4 linked regions of the Caenorhabditis elegans genome follow. The main gene of each other region encodes a partner of the protein of the gene in region 2 in a complex. Each region holds a gene or a part of one and is shown on either strand. Other genes may lie near its edges. The genes, in order: mdt-1.2, mdt-31, mdt-15 and let-49.

Evidence for each region.
Region 1: mdt-31 (region 2) and mdt-1.2 share a complex: the UniProt entries of both Caenorhabditis elegans proteins name them as parts of the mediator complex.
Region 3: mdt-31 (region 2) and mdt-15 share a complex: the UniProt entries of both Caenorhabditis elegans proteins name them as parts of the mediator complex.
Region 4: mdt-31 (region 2) and let-49 share a complex: the UniProt entries of both Caenorhabditis elegans proteins name them as parts of the mediator complex.

Annotation. Positions count from the first base shown.
Region 1 is NC_003284.9:17,149,659-17,155,161, forward strand, and holds mdt-1.2 (Mediator of RNA polymerase II transcription subunit 1.2), read left to right. Parts: upstream 1-1,863; 5' UTR 1,864-1,864; coding exon 1,865-2,035; intron 2,036-2,097; coding exon 2,098-2,231; intron 2,232-2,935; coding exon 2,936-3,163; intron 3,164-3,227; coding exon 3,228-3,332; intron 3,333-3,375; coding exon 3,376-3,564; intron 3,565-3,611; coding exon 3,612-3,921; intron 3,922-4,210; coding exon 4,211-4,388; intron 4,389-4,434; coding exon 4,435-4,546; intron 4,547-4,673; coding exon 4,674-4,815; 3' UTR 4,816-4,989; downstream 4,990-5,503. Other genes in the region: T23C6.4 (Caprin-1_dimer domain-containing protein), read right to left, coding at 151-259. UniProt on the Caenorhabditis elegans protein: Component of the Mediator complex, a coactivator involved in the regulated transcription of nearly all RNA polymerase II-dependent genes.
Region 2 is NC_003279.8:8,964,100-8,967,526, reverse strand, and holds mdt-31 (Mediator of RNA polymerase II transcription subunit 31), read right to left. Parts: upstream 1,414-3,427; 5' UTR 1,398-1,413; coding exon 1,370-1,397; intron 1,231-1,369; coding exon 1,129-1,230; intron 1,022-1,128; coding exon 857-1,021; intron 807-856; coding exon 565-806; 3' UTR 526-564; downstream 1-525. Other genes in the region: spd-2 (Spindle-defective protein 2), read left to right, coding at 1-54, 102-432; snpc-4 (snRNA-activating protein complex subunit 4 homolog), read right to left, coding at 1,604-1,726, 1,781-1,918, 1,967-2,176, 2,225-2,545, 2,603-2,827, 2,872-2,941, 2,997-3,151, 3,221-3,427. UniProt on the Caenorhabditis elegans protein: Component of the Mediator complex, a coactivator involved in the regulated transcription of nearly all RNA polymerase II-dependent genes.
Region 3 is NC_003281.10:5,829,602-5,835,667, reverse strand, and holds mdt-15 (Mediator of RNA polymerase II transcription subunit 15), read left to right. Parts: upstream 1-1,922; 5' UTR 1,923-2,010; intron 2,011-2,154; 5' UTR 2,155-2,191; coding exon of another isoform or gene 2,192-2,284; 5' UTR 2,285-2,330; coding exon 2,331-2,386; intron 2,387-2,609; coding exon 2,610-2,833; intron 2,834-2,883; coding exon 2,884-3,374; intron 3,375-3,446; coding exon 3,447-4,601; intron 4,602-4,951; coding exon 4,952-5,269; intron 5,270-5,347; coding exon 5,348-5,446; 3' UTR 5,447-5,543; downstream 5,544-6,066. Other genes in the region: R12B2.6 (uncharacterized protein), read left to right, coding at 1,515-1,646; R12B2.13 (uncharacterized protein), read left to right, coding at 2,192-2,284. UniProt on the Caenorhabditis elegans protein: Component of the Mediator complex, a coactivator involved in regulated gene transcription of nearly all RNA polymerase II-dependent genes.
Region 4 is NC_003279.8:14,818,681-14,822,166, forward strand, and holds let-49 (Mediator of RNA polymerase II transcription subunit 7), read left to right. Parts: upstream 1-1,731; 5' UTR 1,732-1,743; coding exon 1,744-1,834; intron 1,835-1,956; coding exon 1,957-2,044; intron 2,045-2,168; coding exon 2,169-2,388; intron 2,389-2,442; coding exon 2,443-2,513; intron 2,514-2,569; coding exon 2,570-2,861; 3' UTR 2,862-2,971; downstream 2,972-3,486. Other genes in the region: Y54E5B.2 (WD_REPEATS_REGION domain-containing protein), read right to left, coding at 1-109, 384-716, 846-952, 1,022-1,148, 1,197-1,294, 1,348-1,542; ubc-16 (Ubiquitin-conjugating enzyme E2 W), read left to right, coding at 3,389-3,486. UniProt on the Caenorhabditis elegans protein: Component of the Mediator complex, a coactivator involved in the regulated transcription of nearly all RNA polymerase II-dependent genes.

The sequences.
Region 1 (5,503 bases), on a different chromosome or scaffold from region 2:
AAACTGTTAAAGTTTGGCTCGACACAAAAATAAGGCATTCTATATTTAAAAGTGCAACAGTGTGGACAACCTCTAGAGAATTCATGGAATCCTCAATGAGAAATTCTGGCTCAAACGAGCTCATAAGCTCAGTGTATCCAATCAACTCACTGTTTTTGAATTGAGACTCCATGAGTGCAGCTGTGGAGTTCCAGTAAAGTTGTGATGATTTGAAGTCGAATGGTTGGTTTTCTGCAGGCTGTTGACTGCTCAGCGACATTTTGTTAGCTTTAAAATTTACAGATTATAAATTCGAAAACAAGTTCGCTCAAGTGTGCAAACATCGAAAATGAAGTGGCCAATTGAAATATGAGAGTGAAGAAAGAATTGGATGAGAGAGAACTTGTAAAATCCAAAAAAAAAAACATTCGACCTAATACCAACCAGTCGAGACGAAGAATGGAAGACGGCGAGACAACGAAACCAGCAGCACAGCCGCCTGCCCGCCCTATAAATTGGACTTGAAACAGAGACGACGACGACGAGGAAACTGGTGGGTCTGGCTGCGCAGTCAATGCACACAACGGCTACACCACCAGAAAATTGAGGGAGAACACAGAGCACCGTTGTGCAATTCCTCGAAGGTCCAACATCTGTTGAGGCGAAAAAAGCGCAACAGTGTTCGAGCACCTGTTCGTCAGATGGTTCAACAAAGAGATGAAAGAACATTGAAAGATTTGTGATACATGCTATATTCGTTTTGGGAAAATTTTAGATCAGCAGATTTTTTGTTGAATTGTGAACGATTTGTGGAAAAATTCTCGAAATTTTTGAAATTTTCAGCAAAAATGTTCATAACGTTGTGAGATTGCATTGGGAATCCCACCGAAACATGGCATGTTGTGAAAATATATAAAGCTTGTTTATAAATTAGATGAAACTTAAAAAAACGGGGAAAATTTGATATTAAGCAACTTGAAATTAAGTTTAAAAAACTGCCAGGAGTCTTTGATGATTGAAAAATACCTAGTAAAAATAATGCATAATCTCACGGTATAAATTTTTTATTTGAAGAAAAATTTTAAAAATTTAAGGGTGTAGAATGACAAAAGTACGACCGTTTGTAAACTTATCAAATTTTGTTTAAGAATATGTATGTATTATACAAAAAGAAGATAAATGTGTGTAAAATCATTTTTTTAAGTGGCAGTATCATTTAGTGATTTTTAAAATGCAAAACCGTTTTCAACACACTTTTAAACTACTTTTTTTGTAATGAAAAAATTATTTTCAAAAGTATTCTCGGCAAAATATCTTAGTCATATTCAAAATGGGCTATCATTGGGAGTGTTTCCATCAAGATGTTTTCACAATTTAGTAACGATTTTCAAGCCCCAATAAAAACAAAAACTATACCGCAAATACTTGTCCAGATTCACATTAGGTCCTAAAAAATATTGTCATTCGCCCTAGGATTGAACTGAAAATATAGAAAAACACTGGCATGGAAAAGCAAAAAAAAATTTTTTTTGACAAGTTCTTCTTCTTCTCGAAATTCCCATACTTATTTTTTTCCATTAGCAATTGTAATTGTTCATCATCGTTTCCATGTTCTATGACACCACTTTTCTAATGTCTTGGCTGTGTCCTTCTCCCCTCCATTGCCCATGTTCCTCTCCCGCTCTCTCAAACACGCATTAGCTAGAGATAAGGTATCCAAGGAGTGTGCAGACAGTGTGCAAACACCATCACGGCATTTTGCGGACTTCCCTTTGAAGACGACATCTTATTTTTTATTTCTTTTTGTTTATATTTATTTTTTATTGTTAACTTTCCTCTCTTATTTGTAAATTTGTATTCAACTCGATTAAATTTCGATTTTAGAATGGTTTCCACTCCATCACCGAAAACGAAAGTTTACCTGTTGGAGCAGCGGAAGAATCAAGAGCTCAACATTGAGCATATTGACGAGGAAATGAGATTGGAACAGGTCCGGCAAGCCGCATCAAAAATGGAATGGACATCATTCGGGCAGGCTGTGAGGCGAAACTTGTTGGTAACTATTTTCTTTAAACTTATTTATTGTGAAAGACAATTTGAAAAATGCATGAATTGCAGGAAAAACGTAACACAATCGATGCTGATGGTAGAATTGACGTGCTCAACGGGATTGCGTACATGAAAACAAAAATGCCAATCGAGGAAAACAATCTGATGGAGGAGAAGATACGGGTTATGGCTGAGAGTCTTGGGTAAGTTTTCAGTTAGAGAAATGGCGTTAAATTTAGAAAACTGCCATAAAAACCTGGCTTTTTTGGAACCTAGAATTTAACTGCTAAAAATGATAGAGCATTTCCTTGCACCTATTTTTCACATGCATCAAAATGTATAATTTTTGAGTGCTCTTAAGGTAGAATTCATTTGCCGATTGAGCATTAATAACTTGGAAATCTATTTTTCGTAGCACCTGTTGCTTCAAGAAAGAAAAAAATCAAAAAGGAGTAGACCCACATATACTTCAAATTTTCTGAAACACTGTCAAGTTTCATGTTTTCTTGAAGAACCAAAATCAGTTCCACATCGGACCCTAGTTTGTAATAAAAATATTGTACTTGTATCCAAGATTGAGACGCAAACCTGTCAAAAACTAGAAGAGTTTACCGACTGCCAATTGCTAGAAAATAATCGCGTACTAAATATACAAAATTAAGAAAGTGAGCACCTACTCAATTTCTCTGAAATCTTTACACATTATTACATTTCACAAATAAATGAAAGTACTGCACAACATTTGTTTCTCGATAGACTAGTTTCCTTTTAAAAAAATTAGAAACCTGGTACGTTGGAGTCCGACAAAACTTATACATATTCCAACGTTATCCACTTGAAATTTGCCTAGCCATAACTTCTAATCGCTCAAAATTTATTAAAATACATAGCTCACTTTTATTTCCAGATGCTTGCACAAACAAACTTCTCGCGGATGGTCCATCAATCGTCAAGAAGATCTCATCATGGACTTTACTGTCAACGATGGTGAAGTGACAACCGTTGTGCTTAGTTTTTGGGAAGAGCCTTCATTCTACTCCCCAGAAGCTACAAGAATGCTCCAGTTAGGGATGTGGACAGAGCTTCGAAACCGAATCTCAGATATGCTGTTGACGTATGATAAGTTGTTGAGCAGGTATGTTGTTTGACTTTGAGCAAAGCAAAAAATAATGCTTCTAGAACTCACTCCCATTTTTCAGAGACGATCGTAGAAACTGCATGGGAGCTATGAGAATGCTCGAGATGCTTTTTGGACACTTCTCTCAAGACCCTTCCTACACTTCAATTCACAGATCCAACTATGGGTAACTTTATAATTATTTTTTTAATGAAAAATTTTAATTTTAGTTTCTACCTTCCACGTAATGATCTCCGCGCAGGGCGTGTATATTATTTGGCGGAACCACACTTTCGGAACATTCGCTCCAAGGATCATATTTTCCAGTTACAAAAGGATGATCACGAAGTTTTGCCATACTTTGAATTTTCGTTTGCCAAGCATGATAGCCCGTGTACACTTCCAGAGTTTGACACAAAGTGAGTTCATTCACATCTTAATATTATTGAAAATTGTAAATTTCCAGAGGCTGGGCAGAATCTATTGAAGCAAACGCTGTGATTTGTATGAAGCTATCCAGAGGGTTCAATCTTACTGAAACGACTAGAAAGAAGTTGGGAGCAATCAGTGCAAAGACTCCATCCGTTAAGCATTTCACAAATAGCTATCGCTACGTGACTGGAGCGGTGAAGATTGAGAACAACCTGCAGATGATTACACAGTTTGGCGATGGACAAACTCAACACTTCTACAATGTCGATGTGAACCAGTTGCGCAATGATGGTGACTCTGTGATCACTGAGATTTATTTGAAGCATTTGCAAGATTTTCATGAGGTAAGCAGTAGTAACATAGATTGTATTTTAAAAGCGCCAGTTTCATGATTCAATTAGCAAAAACATAAACATTTGAGTATCTTTTTTGTTTTGAGAAAATAAGCATACATGCTAATGCATGCTTTACATAATATGGACACACATTTTGCAACTTTCGGTTTTTTGCCACAGGGAATTATTGAACTTTGTGAGTCCGTTCAAATACTAGAAGTAGAAATATTATTTAAGACATCATTAACATATGTAGTCAGATATTCCACTACTCGATAAAAATAAATTATAATTGCAGATAATTGCAATTCTTCGCAACGAAGCCATGCATATCAGCCTTTGGGAGTCGATGATATCCGCGTGTTATGAGAAGCAGGGTATGAAAAAGCACACGGTTGCCGCAATCAAGATGGACGTTTTTCTGACAAGAGAGCAAATTGTAATCACCTTTGATACAAAATTTGCGCCGGTCAAAGGTGAGTTCTAGATAGATAAAGTGTTTAATATTAAGTAAATTTGCAGTTGTAATCCAGGATAGTGGAGTTTGTGAGGCAAAGGTGAATGTTGTGCATGCACAGACAGGCCTCCAGATTGCTGAAAAGATTGATGAAACATTGAGCAGAAAACTCAATGAGTAAGTTGAAACCGTACACTAACGCAAACGCAGGACTTGTTGCAAAGTTCCTGAGAATGTCAATAGCAGTTTTGGTGCCAACTCTTTGTCCATAGAACATCCTAGAGAAAACATTTGAAAATTTCAGAACTTGGAGCATTCCAAATATGCTTACCTACGCCGTGTCGGGTAGTGACTGCAACTTGGCAAAGATCAAAGTTCCGTTGAGAAGTGAAAACCCGGAGACTGTGGGCCCAATTCCAACTTATGCGGCTGGACGTTCCTTCTAACGGATTTTTGACTTATGATGTGTTTGTATAGTTTTTGTTTTATTATATACTTGAGCCTTATTTGATACTCATTTTGATTGTTGTGAATGTTTGAAATTAAGTTTTATATGCATTTGTATTATTTAAAATTTGCCATCTGAATTTTTCAAAGAGCTGAAAAGCAGAAAAAAATGATTAGAGGTTTTTTGCATGAATACTGAAAGTTGATTACTTAGGGTCAAAAATATCTTTAATAGTCAAACTGGGCAATATTTTCTTTAATTATGTCAATTGTAAGCTTGCTGAAAATATATAAAAGTAGCTCTAGTTGCCCAAAGACCTCGAAAGTTTACCCAAACAACTAAATTTCATAATGAGACTTTTCAAAGTTTTTAAAATATTTTACATTGCAGTTCAAAATTTCAAAAAAAAACTGTTCAATTCAGCTAAAATCTTCAATATTTATGTTTGTATGTGGCACATGGCCGGAAATCAATGTTCATTTAATGATCATTGAAATTTTGACCTTTCTTAAAAAGTTTTAAAACATTTTTGAGAAATCCGATTGCATAATTTTGTAATTTGGGATTAATATAATTTACAAACTCTGTTTAAGCATGAAAACCCAAAAAATTGATTTTTTGACAAATTCATTATTGACAGAAACTATATCCATAATTACGTATATGTTACAAATTTGACAGGAGAC
Region 2 (3,427 bases):
ATTCTTTGTGCATGTCGTTTGGGGTGAAGAAACCATGCGAACCAGACTTCGATTGTTAATTTGAATACAGATGAAATGGTATTACATTTGAAATTATTTAGGCTAGAAGTTCGCACAGGACAGCATCAACTAATCGATGGTCATGACTTCACATCTTTCCAATTTTCCGATGAAGAAGTTCTTCGTGCTGTTCCAGTTGGATTCCCCGCTATCAAGCCCGAGGACCGTGATCTGTTCGCTGCTTCTTATCGTAGTTTCTTCATCAATTTTTTCACTTCTACAACTGAATTCCGTGCTGCTACAAGCCGGAAGAAGAAAGAGATATGCAGCAACGACGACTCTACTCTACTCGAGACAACAGCTTTCCGTAATCAGACATTTGTCAACGACGTTACAATTGTTCCCAATACAAGATTTTCGAATAGAAAGTAAAATCTTAACCTAACTTTCCAAATATTCTCTGATTTCTGTCCAGGCTTCGAAAAAATTCACGGTTCTGTAAAATGTAGGTTTCAATTTCAATAAAGTGGTGATGAAGTTTTATTTGATTTACATTTTTTATGTTTATTTTTCTTTCTTTGAAACGGTAGAAGTTGTGGAATTCTTTTCGGCTGTGTCAGCATCCGGTTTCTTCATCGTTTCCTCATCATCTTCATCCTCTGTGTCCTTTTGTCGAATATCAGCTTCATCTTCAGATTCTTCAAGCTCTTGTCCCTCATCAGGCATCATACACAAACGATGCCGTTTCCGAAGATAAAACTGCCATTGGAGAACCACTTGATCTTCTACGAATTTCGCGCTTGGTCCTGAAAATAAGTTACTATTCTTCTGATAGATTAAATAAAATTTGAACTACCGTAAGCCATCGAATCGCGAAATTGCTGACTCTGCAGTGCTTCAAGCATGTGCAGACATTGAGGAAATTTCAAGCATCTGGCATATTGAGGATCTTTCCAATAGAGAAGATATTTGAGATAGTTGACAAAATATTCTTCTTTGAAATAACCACGTTGCGCGAGAACTGGAAAATATGAAATTTGCAGGAAAAAGAGTGCATAAAAAAACAAGAAACTTAGAATAAAAATACGTTTTTCTCTATTCTCGGCTAGTGTATGTGAATAAACTCACAATTAAGATAATTTGGATTTGCAAGAGCCTGCACGAATTCACATTCAACTTCAAATCTCGTCTTTTCACTTTCTACACTCTCCATCTGCATTGTATTGTAGCCTGAAGAAAAAAAAATGGAATTCAAGCTTCGAAAAATTACAGAAATTTACAAAATTTTGATATTATGACCTTTTTTCACCTATACGGTGAAATCCGTACTACGAAATGAGTTAAATATATTATTCCAATGGAAACATACCGTATCGATTGAAACTAAAACGACCCATGCCTATAAAACCATTTTATTAGAAAAAGAAAAACAAATTTAACAGATGGTGTTCATAAAGAGCTGAGATTGTTAATAAAACAAAAGTGAAATAATCTTAGGAGATCAACTTTTAATGGGTTCAGTTTAAAAAAGTGATGTAAAACTGCACAGGAGAGGATGACATAGAGTTGGGTAAAATAGTTATATTGTTCAATAATAGAATATTCAATCTAACTCCACTTTGAGCGAAATATTACTCTCCGTATCGATCGAGACGTGACTTGGAGTGGGTGTACCTGCAGATGAACGCGGTGGACGAGCAGGACGCGCTGCAACTGTCGCAACGGTCTGAAAAATATACTGTTTCATTGAGGACTATGAGAAAAATATAGATAATAGTACCGCAAGGATTACTAGGGGTAAAAGTTTAATTTTAGTGTCACATCTCACCTCTCCAATCTTCCTTTTCATTCTGATTTTCTTCGCAGAATTCTTGTCCAGATTAGCCAACAACTCGGTGGTATCGATTTTCATGCCGTTCTGAAAAAAAACAACGTCTAGCAGTGGAGACAACGCAAAAAACTTTACATTTAGTTCTCTAGAGATTGAAGTTGGAGTAACATAGATCTCGTCATCAGGCATCCGGCGTCGTCTTATTTGGTCACAGGTAACTTGTTGTTCTTCATCGCAGGCGCGTTCCTCTGCAAGACAGCGCACAAGCCGCTTGGTTTCATCAGACGACGATTCACGAGCAATTCCAAGACGCATTGGTTCGAGAAGAATCGAACGCATTCGAGCCTGAAAAATTATCAAAAATAAAAATAAGAATATAATATATTCACTTACATAAAAATTCGCATACTCTTTACTATTGGTGACCTCATCAGACAACCCGATATGCATACGTCTGTCTCCGTCGAGGCCCTCTCTCTCGTCGTTTTTGAAGTTGAATTGTTGAGCCAGAGAGACATCAAGAGGGTAAAAGTGTTCAGCAGAAAGACGATTCAATCCAGAACGGGCTTTTTGAAGCATTTTGTGAAGATCGAATGATGCAGCAGTCGGAGGAAGAGTTGACTTGGCTGGGCAATGTACATCATTTTGATTGCATGACTTTGAGTTAACATGTAAATACCATTCAGCGACTTCTTTTGACTTGTTTATGACCATCTGTGAGAATTTTAATGTGAATTTTCATTAAACTTTATTTTCTCTATTCTGACTCACATTCTCCACAAATCTTTTAGCGTATTTCGGCGCTGTGAAGCGATGTTCATTCCAAAACTTAGTGCCCCATTCTTTTACGTCGTGAGCACGAATTACAGAGCACAACGACTCCACAATGACCATTTGCTTTTCATCTTCAGCATCATTTGGATCAAATGTTGGCATTGTTTCTGGATCCAAATCGATCTTAATCGGACGAACACGACATCCGATTTGATCCACGTTCTGAACATTTTTCAATGGGTTAATATTCTGTACAATTAATTTACCTTTCTAAACTGTCGAGCCTCGTAGTAACGCGTCAAAGTCTTGCTTCTTTCTATCATGTAACGAACATCACTGAAAAACAAAATGTAATTAAAATATGGTGTTTTTTTTTTGGTTTTCAACTAACACTTCCGTGATTGTGAGCGATGAGAGAATTTCACTGGAGTGTAGTTCTTTGTCGATTTCGGCTGCATTTTTGTGCTTTTGAACAATTTCGTTGATTTTATCTTGGATTTTTTGATAATCCGGCTTATTCTTCAGAGCTCGAATTCTAGCGGCGGCCTGCAATAATAATAATAATAATAGTAATAATAAAAATATGAGTTTTAAAAAATTTATTTTTGATCTTACTGGTCTCTCCAAGGCAGATACACGTTTGTAAAATTCTTCGGGAGTCTCATTCATATCCGGATTTTCGTTGGCGAATTTCTCATAAACTTCTTTCATGAGTTCATTTGGAATCTGCTCCGCTTCCACAATATCTTCTTGCTCCAGCTCGTCCTCTTCAGGAGCACGTCTTCCGGATTTCATGGCATCGACCGCGTTGCAGAATCCGGC
Region 3 (6,066 bases), on a different chromosome or scaffold from region 2:
TGTAGAATCTCTCAATTTTGCACACTATTCTGAACATCATTAACTTGTGTGTCCGTCTACGGTATTATCAATCATTTTCTTCTTTTTCATCGTCGTCTTCTTCTTCTTCTTATTCGTTTTCTTTTCCCCTATCCTCGCCACTTTCCACATTCGTTTCGCACCCAGTTCTACTTCTTCGATACGGCTTCCATCGGTATTCTGAATTTCCCTGTCAGCACCTGCCCTTCGTCTTTGCTCAGGCAATCAGCACCGAACTCTCTCTCTGTTAGAAAATGTCGCCAGTTGCTCGGGCTCTTTCCCTCTCTCTCTATCTCTCTCTCTATCTGGCTCACCGACCGCGTGGTGGTGCTGCTTCGTCGACACGCTCGTTTGGTGATAAATGATTTGCTCCCCCTTTTCGTTTTCTTTTTCTTCTTGCGTTGATTTTTCACATTGTTATTGCACTTGGCAGTGTCGTATTTTTGTGTTTTTATTTTGACCCATAAGTTCTAATACGATATCTTAGGCTCCCAGCTTGACTGGTGCTCTCATAATTTGAAATCAGAAGTTTTTCTTTTAAAAATTGAAAAAAGTGCACATTTTTCTTAAATTTTGAAGCTAAATATTTGAAATCTTCCACACTTCTAGTTTAATTCTCGATAACATCTGATAATTCTTTCCAAAATTTCAGGTCGAGCTGGCAAACATGGAAAAGCAATCACATTCCTCACACCTGACGATACTGCCGTCTATTTCGACTTGAAGCAGGTAAAAATTGTGGACGGACACCTTCCAACACACGTGTAATTGGTTTACTTTCCAGTGCGCGCTAACCGAATTCCCTTTCGTCTTTTTTCGCGCGCGCTCTCCGGCACTTCACACATGTGTTGTGGTGCTGGAAGGTTGCCTAATTTCTTGCACTTGAGCTGGTTTTCTCTCTGCGACGAAAATGGATTTTTTGTTAGGCGGAAAACGGAATTCGTTTTTTTTGTAAGAAAATGAAAATTATTCGGGAATGATAAGACCGGTAAAACGTTCCATAAGATAAGAACATATTTCAGCGTTCTAGAGCAATTTAAAACAAAAAAATGTTGTGATTAATTCTACAATTTTTGCGCCGAAAATACGGTACCCGGTCTCGACACGACAGAAATTGTTGTTAACTGCGAAAGGTCTGCGTCTTTAAAGAGTTCGGTAACTTCAAATTTTCATTACTGCGGTAATTTCAAATTTTCATTTCATTGAGTTTTCCCATAAATTCATAAATATATTTTTTTATCGAAAAACAATGAAAAATCTTTAAAAATTCGACTGAGATTAAAGTTTGGAGTTACAGTACTCTTTAAAGGCGCACACCTTTCACATTCATCAAGAGAGTGTCGTGTCGAGACCGGGTGCCGTTTTTTTGTCAAAAACTAGAAGAATTACGTTGACGCGAAATGTATGTCCCCTTGCTTTACAAAATTTTATACACAAAACATTTAATTTTTAAATTTTCCAGGTTCTCGTTGAATTGCCTGCGTCGTTATGCCCGAATGGACTCGCGGAACATGATGCTGCACGGAGCAAACCTAGACAATTCACATCTTGATGTGAAAGTGAACTTTTTGTTTGAAAATTTCAAACATTTTTCAGTTTTTTTAAAACTTACCAAATCTTCCAAATAATACTAACCACCACATATCTTCCATTAAAAAATTTAACGTTTTTCAGCGTTCTGAATATCTTATCTCTCTGGTCCATTTCTCCTACAGAATATCTCTATCTCATAATTGCCTATTTTTATTTGTTTTTCTTTCTTAATTTCAAGCGTTTGGGATATCTTATCTCTCTCAACTCCGTTTATTTTTTTCTCCTTATCCGTCTCCTTATCCGTATTCCTTTATTATTAATCTCTTCTTCGTTCAACATCGCTAAATATTTTTTTCAATTCCTAATTTCAGGTCAAACCGGGGAACGAATCAAAAAGTGATTTTGCCGTCGGCGATCCGAAAATTTTGCCGGCTCGTCGACTATTGACGAGAACAAGAGGTGAGAAAATGGGGAACTTTTTGATATTTCCATCCTGATCTTTTGTGAATTGAAAGTTGAATCACAATAGATCGATGCACCATAATACAAAAAGTGACAATTTTTCCCCACTTTCAACCATCCATTATTCTATTTCTTTTGCAGGAATCGTCGTTATTTTTCGTTTGCCGCGTTCGTCGTTTTGATTTGTTCTTCATTTTCCTTCTTGTCGATAATTGTGTGTGAATCAAGACGCTCAGAAAGCCGCCGCCACGTTGACGTCGACGGTTGTTGAATCGCTTGCAAAAGCAACATTTCAAAAACAAGAGCAGAGTAGAAAGATGAGCGAAGAGGATTGGCCTTCGCCGAAATTTCGAGAGCATGTTATTCAGAGACTGTAAGCTTTTTTTAAAGGAATATTTTTTTGATAACCGAGAAAACATTTTAAAAAATTTTTTTTTTGTTGAAAATTTCCAAAAATTTCCATTCAAAATTTTGATAAATTCCCAAGTATTTGTAAATTATAAACCATAGGAGCTGATGTCACAAATGTATCCAGGCTGTACTCTTTTTAAAAATGAAAAAAAAATCCCGAAATATAAAAATTTTCCAATTTTCAGTGAGCCTGAGTTGGCGAGAAACCGGCAGAATGCCCCAAATTTACCAGTACCCGGTGACGCGAGGCAGGTCGAAGAATATGTGTTCGCAAAGTGTATGTCGAAGGACGAATATATGAGGACGATCGCAAAAGTGATTAATGCTATCAATTGTAATAGTAAATCAGCGGCAGTGCCTTCCGTGTTACAACCATCACAGTTTCATAGTCCGCCGTGTACGACAGCAGGTAACTTTTTGTAGTTTTTTGTGGCAACGAAAATCTAAAATTTCAATTAGCTCTATTAGGAAACACTCCGGCTGGCGGAACACCCGGATATCGAGCTCCTGTGCCTCCAGATCCACAACCAACATCAGCTCAGGCAAGAAATCCACCTGTTACCGTAGCAACAACACAGGCATCAACAACTCCATCAGCACCAAATCCGCCAGGAGGATTGCCTGCTCCATCAGCTTCTGCCACTGCTGCTGTTGCCGCCGCGGTTGCTTCATTTCCATCACCAGATACAAGTATTCGTCCAGGTGGACAGATCACTCCAGGATCACAGGCACCCGGTGGAGGTCCGACGCCGGCACCAAATGTTCCATTCCCAAATGGAAGCAGCCAGATGAATGGTGGACCAGCAATGGGTCAGCCACCACCGCAAATGGGTGCTCCAAATATGGGTGGACCACCGAATGGATACGGTGGTTACGGTATGATGAATGGACCACCTGGTAGTGGTGCTCCAATGGGTGGAAATCCGTACAATCAGCAGATTAAAAAGGATGTGAGTTTATTTTTCAAATGTATTTTTTTTTAATCTGCTAATTTTTCAATTTTTGATTAATTTTTTTTTCAGATGGATCAAGCTCGTCCTTGGGATCCTTCAGCACATATGTATCAACAACAACCACAATGGGGTGCAATGCCACCACAACAACCACATGGATATCCTGGAAGACCAATGAACGGTCAAGGAGCCACTCCAACCGGTCCTTCATCAGTTCTTGAATCACTTATCAATCAGCCTCAACAATATCCAGGACATCACAATCAGATGGGCCCACCTGGAGATCGAAATGTTGCTGCTCAACGTGCAGCTGCCCAACAACAGCAACAACAACAACAACAGCAGCAACAGCAACGACCCGGAATGGTTCCAAACCAGGGAATGATGAGTTCCGAGGATCAAACCGTGTATTCTGCGAAATTGAGAAATATGCGTGGAAGCTGCGACAGTTTGAGAACACGAGCAAGGCAATGCAGACATGAGGGTAACCATGAAGCTGCTCACAAGCTTGAGGTTATGCTCAGTGTGCTCGAAGGAAAACGTGTGGTTAGCCTTGAATACTTGAACCATTTGGAGATGTGGATTGCCAGAAAGCAAGACTTCTTGAATATTGCTCCAATGTCACAGAATCAGAATCATATGGGAATGAACGATCCGATGATGAACGGTGAACATGCTATGTTGGGTAATGGTCAGGTGCCAAATCCCTACGGAGGACATCCAGGTTATGGACATCAGCAGTATATGGGACCTCCACCACCACATATGCAAATGCATCAACCACCAATGTGGCATCAACAGCAACACCAACAGCAGCAACGAATGATGCCACAGGATCATATGATGATGCAGGGTGGAGGTGGTCCAGTTCATGGAATGTATCGTGGAGATATGGGACACGATCCGATGACATCACCAGTCAACAATCATCGTCATGCTCCATACCCGAATCCTGCAGCGATGAGAAACAATATGAGAATGCCAAATGGTCCTGGACCAATTGGAAGAGATCGTAATTCGATGAGTGGATCAAGTATGTCAGGTCCAAGTTCTGGAGCCCCTTCAATGAATCCAATGGGTACACCGAATCAAAAAATGGGAACACCTGGATCAATGGGTGGAATGTCAGGACTTGATGATCTGAACTATGATGATTTCCTTCCAAACCCAACGCCGATTGATGCACTTCAGCCAACATTGCACGTCGGGCAGAATTCGATGAATGTAAGTTTTATATTAAAAATTGAGTTTCTCAGCTTTCAAAAAAAAAAAACACACAAAGTATCCTCAAATGATTTTTGAAAAAAGTGAAAAATAATTGTGTCGCCGAAAACACGAAAAAAAAAATCGAAAAACGAAAAACCTCTGATCTCAAACAGGGACACCAAAAACATTTTAGACCAAAAACAAAACATTTTCGTATTTTTTCTTCTCCCGACTAAAAATCAACATTTTCGCAATTCAGTTTTTTTTTCTTTTTTTGGTCCGAAAAAACCAACAAGATTACCAAAAAATCTATTTTTACAAAAAAAAAATCAACAGCCAATCAATAATCTCAATCAATAAATATTCAGGCTGGTCCACCAGTTCAACGATCAAATCTCAATGAAACAGCAAGAAAGGAACTTCAAATCCTTGATGCTCGATTCGAGATTGATCCAAACCATCAACGTCATGATGCCAATCATATCATTGTCGTCTGTAAAATCCGTAATCAACAGTTCCCACCACTTCGACTCGTTGTTCCAACCACTTATCCAGCTGGAAATGTGACTGTAGATCGAGCAGTCATTGATTTGGATGCATATTTGTATGATGATCTACAAAATTCAGTATATGAGAGATTATCACGACCCGGTCTTTCGTCAATTACTGACTATTTGAATGCTTGGGTAAGTTCTTTCGCTGAGAAAGGGAAATTTATGAAAATTGCACTTCAAATTGAATTTTAAATTTATAATTTTCTACAGGAAGAACAAGTGAATCAATACCAAAACCAGACAAGCGGTGGTCTAGACGTCGCTTTCAACGTGGGCAACGATTTCTTCTACGATAATCTTAACTTGTAAGTTAGGTAGAGTGCATTAAGTTTCTTTTTTTGTGCCTGCTCACTAAAAGTTTTGTTATTCAATGTTTATTTTTGTAAAATAATAAAAAATATGAAAAACATTATAAAATAAAGTTGGAAGTGAAAAAATTCCGGAAAGTTTTAATTTTTGTAATAACTTTACAAAAAGTATTACTCAAACGCGAAAGTTTACGATTTTTCACCAAAATTACGGTAACCGGTCTCGACACGAAAAATGTTGGTCAAATGCGAAAATATGTGCGTCTTTAAAGAGTACTCTATTTTTTCATCGTTTTTTGATTAAAAAAATATATACCTGTCAATCTAAAAAAAATACCCGAATTTGACAATGAAAACACAATTAATATGATTTGAAACATGATTTTAAAATTACAGTACTCTTTAAAAACGCAAACCTTTAAAAAAATTAGAAGACAGTTTTTTTTAAACAAACTGTTTTCTTCTCAATCAATGTTTTCTAATTTTCAGGTCAAATCCGTTCTAAACTCCGCCTCGTCTGAATTGAATTGCTCAGTTGCACAAAACCTGTACAAAAAAGAAAATCGAGTCTTCGTGGAATGGATTCAGTTGTTGTTGTCCTCTATAAATGATTGTTTTGCC
Region 4 (3,486 bases), 5.9 Mb from region 2:
GTTCTGATGCCACGCTACTACCGAATCATCTGATGACGTCATATGCTTTATATTTGTGCATCGGAATATTATTCGGAGCATTGCATCGGATTCGAAGAGGATTAGCTCACTGTAAGATGATTGAGTTGTATGATTTTTTCTTAGAAAATAGTGAAAAGGAGTTCAAATTTCCAAGTCGCCGAATTTTAGACCATTGAATAATTTTAGGCCTTCACAGGAATTTAGGCTTTCTGAAGAATTTGTGCAAAATGGTATAAAAATGCAAACTTGGAATTAAATAGTATCTCATTATGCATTTTTTGGATTTTCCAAAAAATAAAGTCCAATATTAAATTTCGTGTTTGGAGGTTTTTTAAAGTAATTTTAGTCAAAAAAAAACTCACTTATCTGCCGTTAAAATCACTAATTTCCCATTTAAATTCGCAAAATTCATCAAATCATCTTTCAAAATTACAATTTTCGATTTCAATGATTGCTGTTCCACGTGAATTTCCAAAAGATCTCCATTTTGAGAGCTGATCGCCAGTGTACTATCGTCTATTTTACTGATTTTCTGAATAACACCAATTGGAATTGCAATCTTTTGCCGCAAATCAATCGAACGTTCATCATATTTCCAGCAGAACAGTGTTTGTTCGATACCGCCCGTGTAGATTCTATAATTGATTGGATCCACGCAAATGGCGAATGGACGGGCTGTATGACCGAATACTGTGCTAAAAATGGAGAATTGTGTCGATTTACGCAGCAGTTCTCATGTACTCCTCGTGAAGAAGATTTTTTTTTGAATTGTTTTAGTTGAAATCGATAAATTTAAAGTTAAAAATAAGTATTAGAAAACCAACCAAAGCGGACCACTTTCTCTGTCATCAATTGGCCACATTCGAATTGTTCGATCATCAGAAATTGTGAAAATACGTGTGGAATCCGTTACAATTGAAAAGATCATTCCCTAAAAATTGGAATAGTATAATTCTTTTTTCGGCCAACAACAAAGCTATTTCCAAGTCAAAAATCGAACTTTATGTCCTTTTCTCATAATTGGCTTCTCGTCTTCGTGTGGCTTCCAATCAATTAATTCTCCGATAACACTTCCAAAATACACGTGACAAGATTCTGCACTATTTCCGATGATTAGAGAGCAAATTCTGGAAAATTAGGAAATTGTTCCAGTATTATTTTACTAATTTACGCACGATGTGGCAAAGTAATCGCATTGAATTTTCGATAAAACGCTCAGATTTGAAGATATGCGAATTGTGAGCGAATTCCTCGATGTTACGGTGATTATTTTCTGAAAAATTGGAAAGTTGTTTGAAGTCGGCGATTTTGAGAGTAACCTTTTACCTTTTCTTTTTTGAACAACTTGCAGCCAATGATATGCTCAGGAAACTCCTCAATTATTTGGTTTTCAGCACATTTTGAGTATTTTTCATCAAATTTTGCACATGTGATGATTTTCCCGCTTAGCAGATGTTTTTCAGCTATTTTTGATTGAATAAGGTGGTCGAGAAGACATGGATTATCTTCTAATTCGTCCATTGAACTGAAAACAATTCGTTTAAGAACAAAAATAAATAGAAAAAAGAAAAAAGAAAAAAAAACAAATTTTCAAAAATAATGCAACTGCGCTCCTCCGTACTCTCACGTTTTTCATTTTTCTTTCTTTTATTATTATACTTCCCTTCCTTTTCAGCTCTGTTTTCATCGTTTTCAACTCATTTTTTTCAGTTTTCATTTAAAATGCTTCCTGGTTTTGGTGCACAAACAGTCAGCCCGTTCCCAAATCCTCCAGAGTACGCATCGGCGTATACAAGTGATCGAATCAATAATGGTAAGGAGTTTGAATTTTGAAATTTTGAAACTAGCAGTTTTTAATTCAGCAAACAGTATTTTTTTTTGTTAGAAATAAAACGCAATTTCTCTAACAGATTTCTCATACATCACTTTAACAAGATTCAGGTTCGGCACCACCTCCGCCGCATCCACTTACGGAATTCAAGGTGTACGGAGAGGAATATCGATTGGAAGATGATGTCATCGCGTAAGAAATTTTAGCGGCTATATAAAAACCAAAAACATGCTGAGTCTAGCCGAATTTTCCCACCTATTTTGCAAAAACCTTTTTCAATACGCGGGAAAAACTAGAATAAAACATTCATTTACAGCCCTCTGAAAAACGCCGGTGTTGCTGAGCTCTACAAGAACAAAAATAATTGGAAAACCGAGATGAAGAAGTTGAACAGGTCCGCCATAGTCGCATTTTTCGATTTGGTCGAAATTCTGATTCGCGCTCCCGATCACCCAATGAGAGAGGAGAAAATGGTCGATTTACACACGATATTCATTAATATGCATCATTTGATCAATGAATTCCGGCCAGTTCAGGTAGAAAAGTGTTTTAAAAATGAAATAAAATCTATATTTTTCTATGTTTTTCAGGCTCGCGACAGTGTTCGAATTTTACAAGAGAGACAAATCGAAGAATTATCGGATATTTGCAAGGATTTTAAGTTAGTCAAATCGGAATTAAGTTTTAAATTTGTATATTTTTTCTCCTTTTTTCCAGAAAATATCTGCGTGATGGTCGAGAAGTTGTCGATGACCAATTCCAAATGATCCGTGGGAAGCTTCCAGCTCCACCTCAACCTTCGGAACTGACACGTGTCAAACTGCAAGACGGAGTGCTTCATATGCTTCAGGAGACAGAAGCTTCAGATGACGTGGAAATGAAAGAGGAAGAAGGATCGGAATATAGTAAAAAGAAAGCGAGGCTGGAACTATTATCAAGAGAAGATGGACCACCGAGTGTTGTACACTTGTTAGCAAGACAGTTTCATGATATCTCACTGAAGAAATAATTAAATAATTTCATTTTAATTTATTTTACCGGGTTTTCGAACTATGATTTTGACTCTGATGATCTTCTGAAATGCTGTAATTAAAATTTCGTTTAAAAATAACTTTTTTCAATCGTTTTTTCATCTTTGTTCTGTTGAAAATGCGTCAATTCGCATTCTTTATTTCGAATTATTTTTTATACTTTTTAGGCAGCTTTCGTGTGACATAAACAATTATCTTCAGGGAATACGTTTCATTTCGAAAAACAGTGTTTTTTCTTCAAAAAATTAAAAACCTGAAAATGAGAAAACTAAAATTTTCGGTTTTTTTATTTTAGAGGAAAACGCCAATTAAAAGCGCAAAGTCGTACGTAGCTTTTTCGATTTTATTCTTTCTATAATTGGAAATTATGAGCAGAAATTATTGATTAAAAATCAATAATTTAAGCCAAAAAAACTGTAAAATTCTCTTCTCCTCGAGAAGTATACGAATTCTGCGTGAATCAACACATAATACCCCTAATTTCAGACGCCTCCACTCATCAGGAATGTCAGATGCTGCGACAAGACGACTGATGAAAGAGCTGGCTCAACTGAAAAGTGAGGCTCCAGAAGGGCTTTTAGTGGATAATACATCAACAAGTAA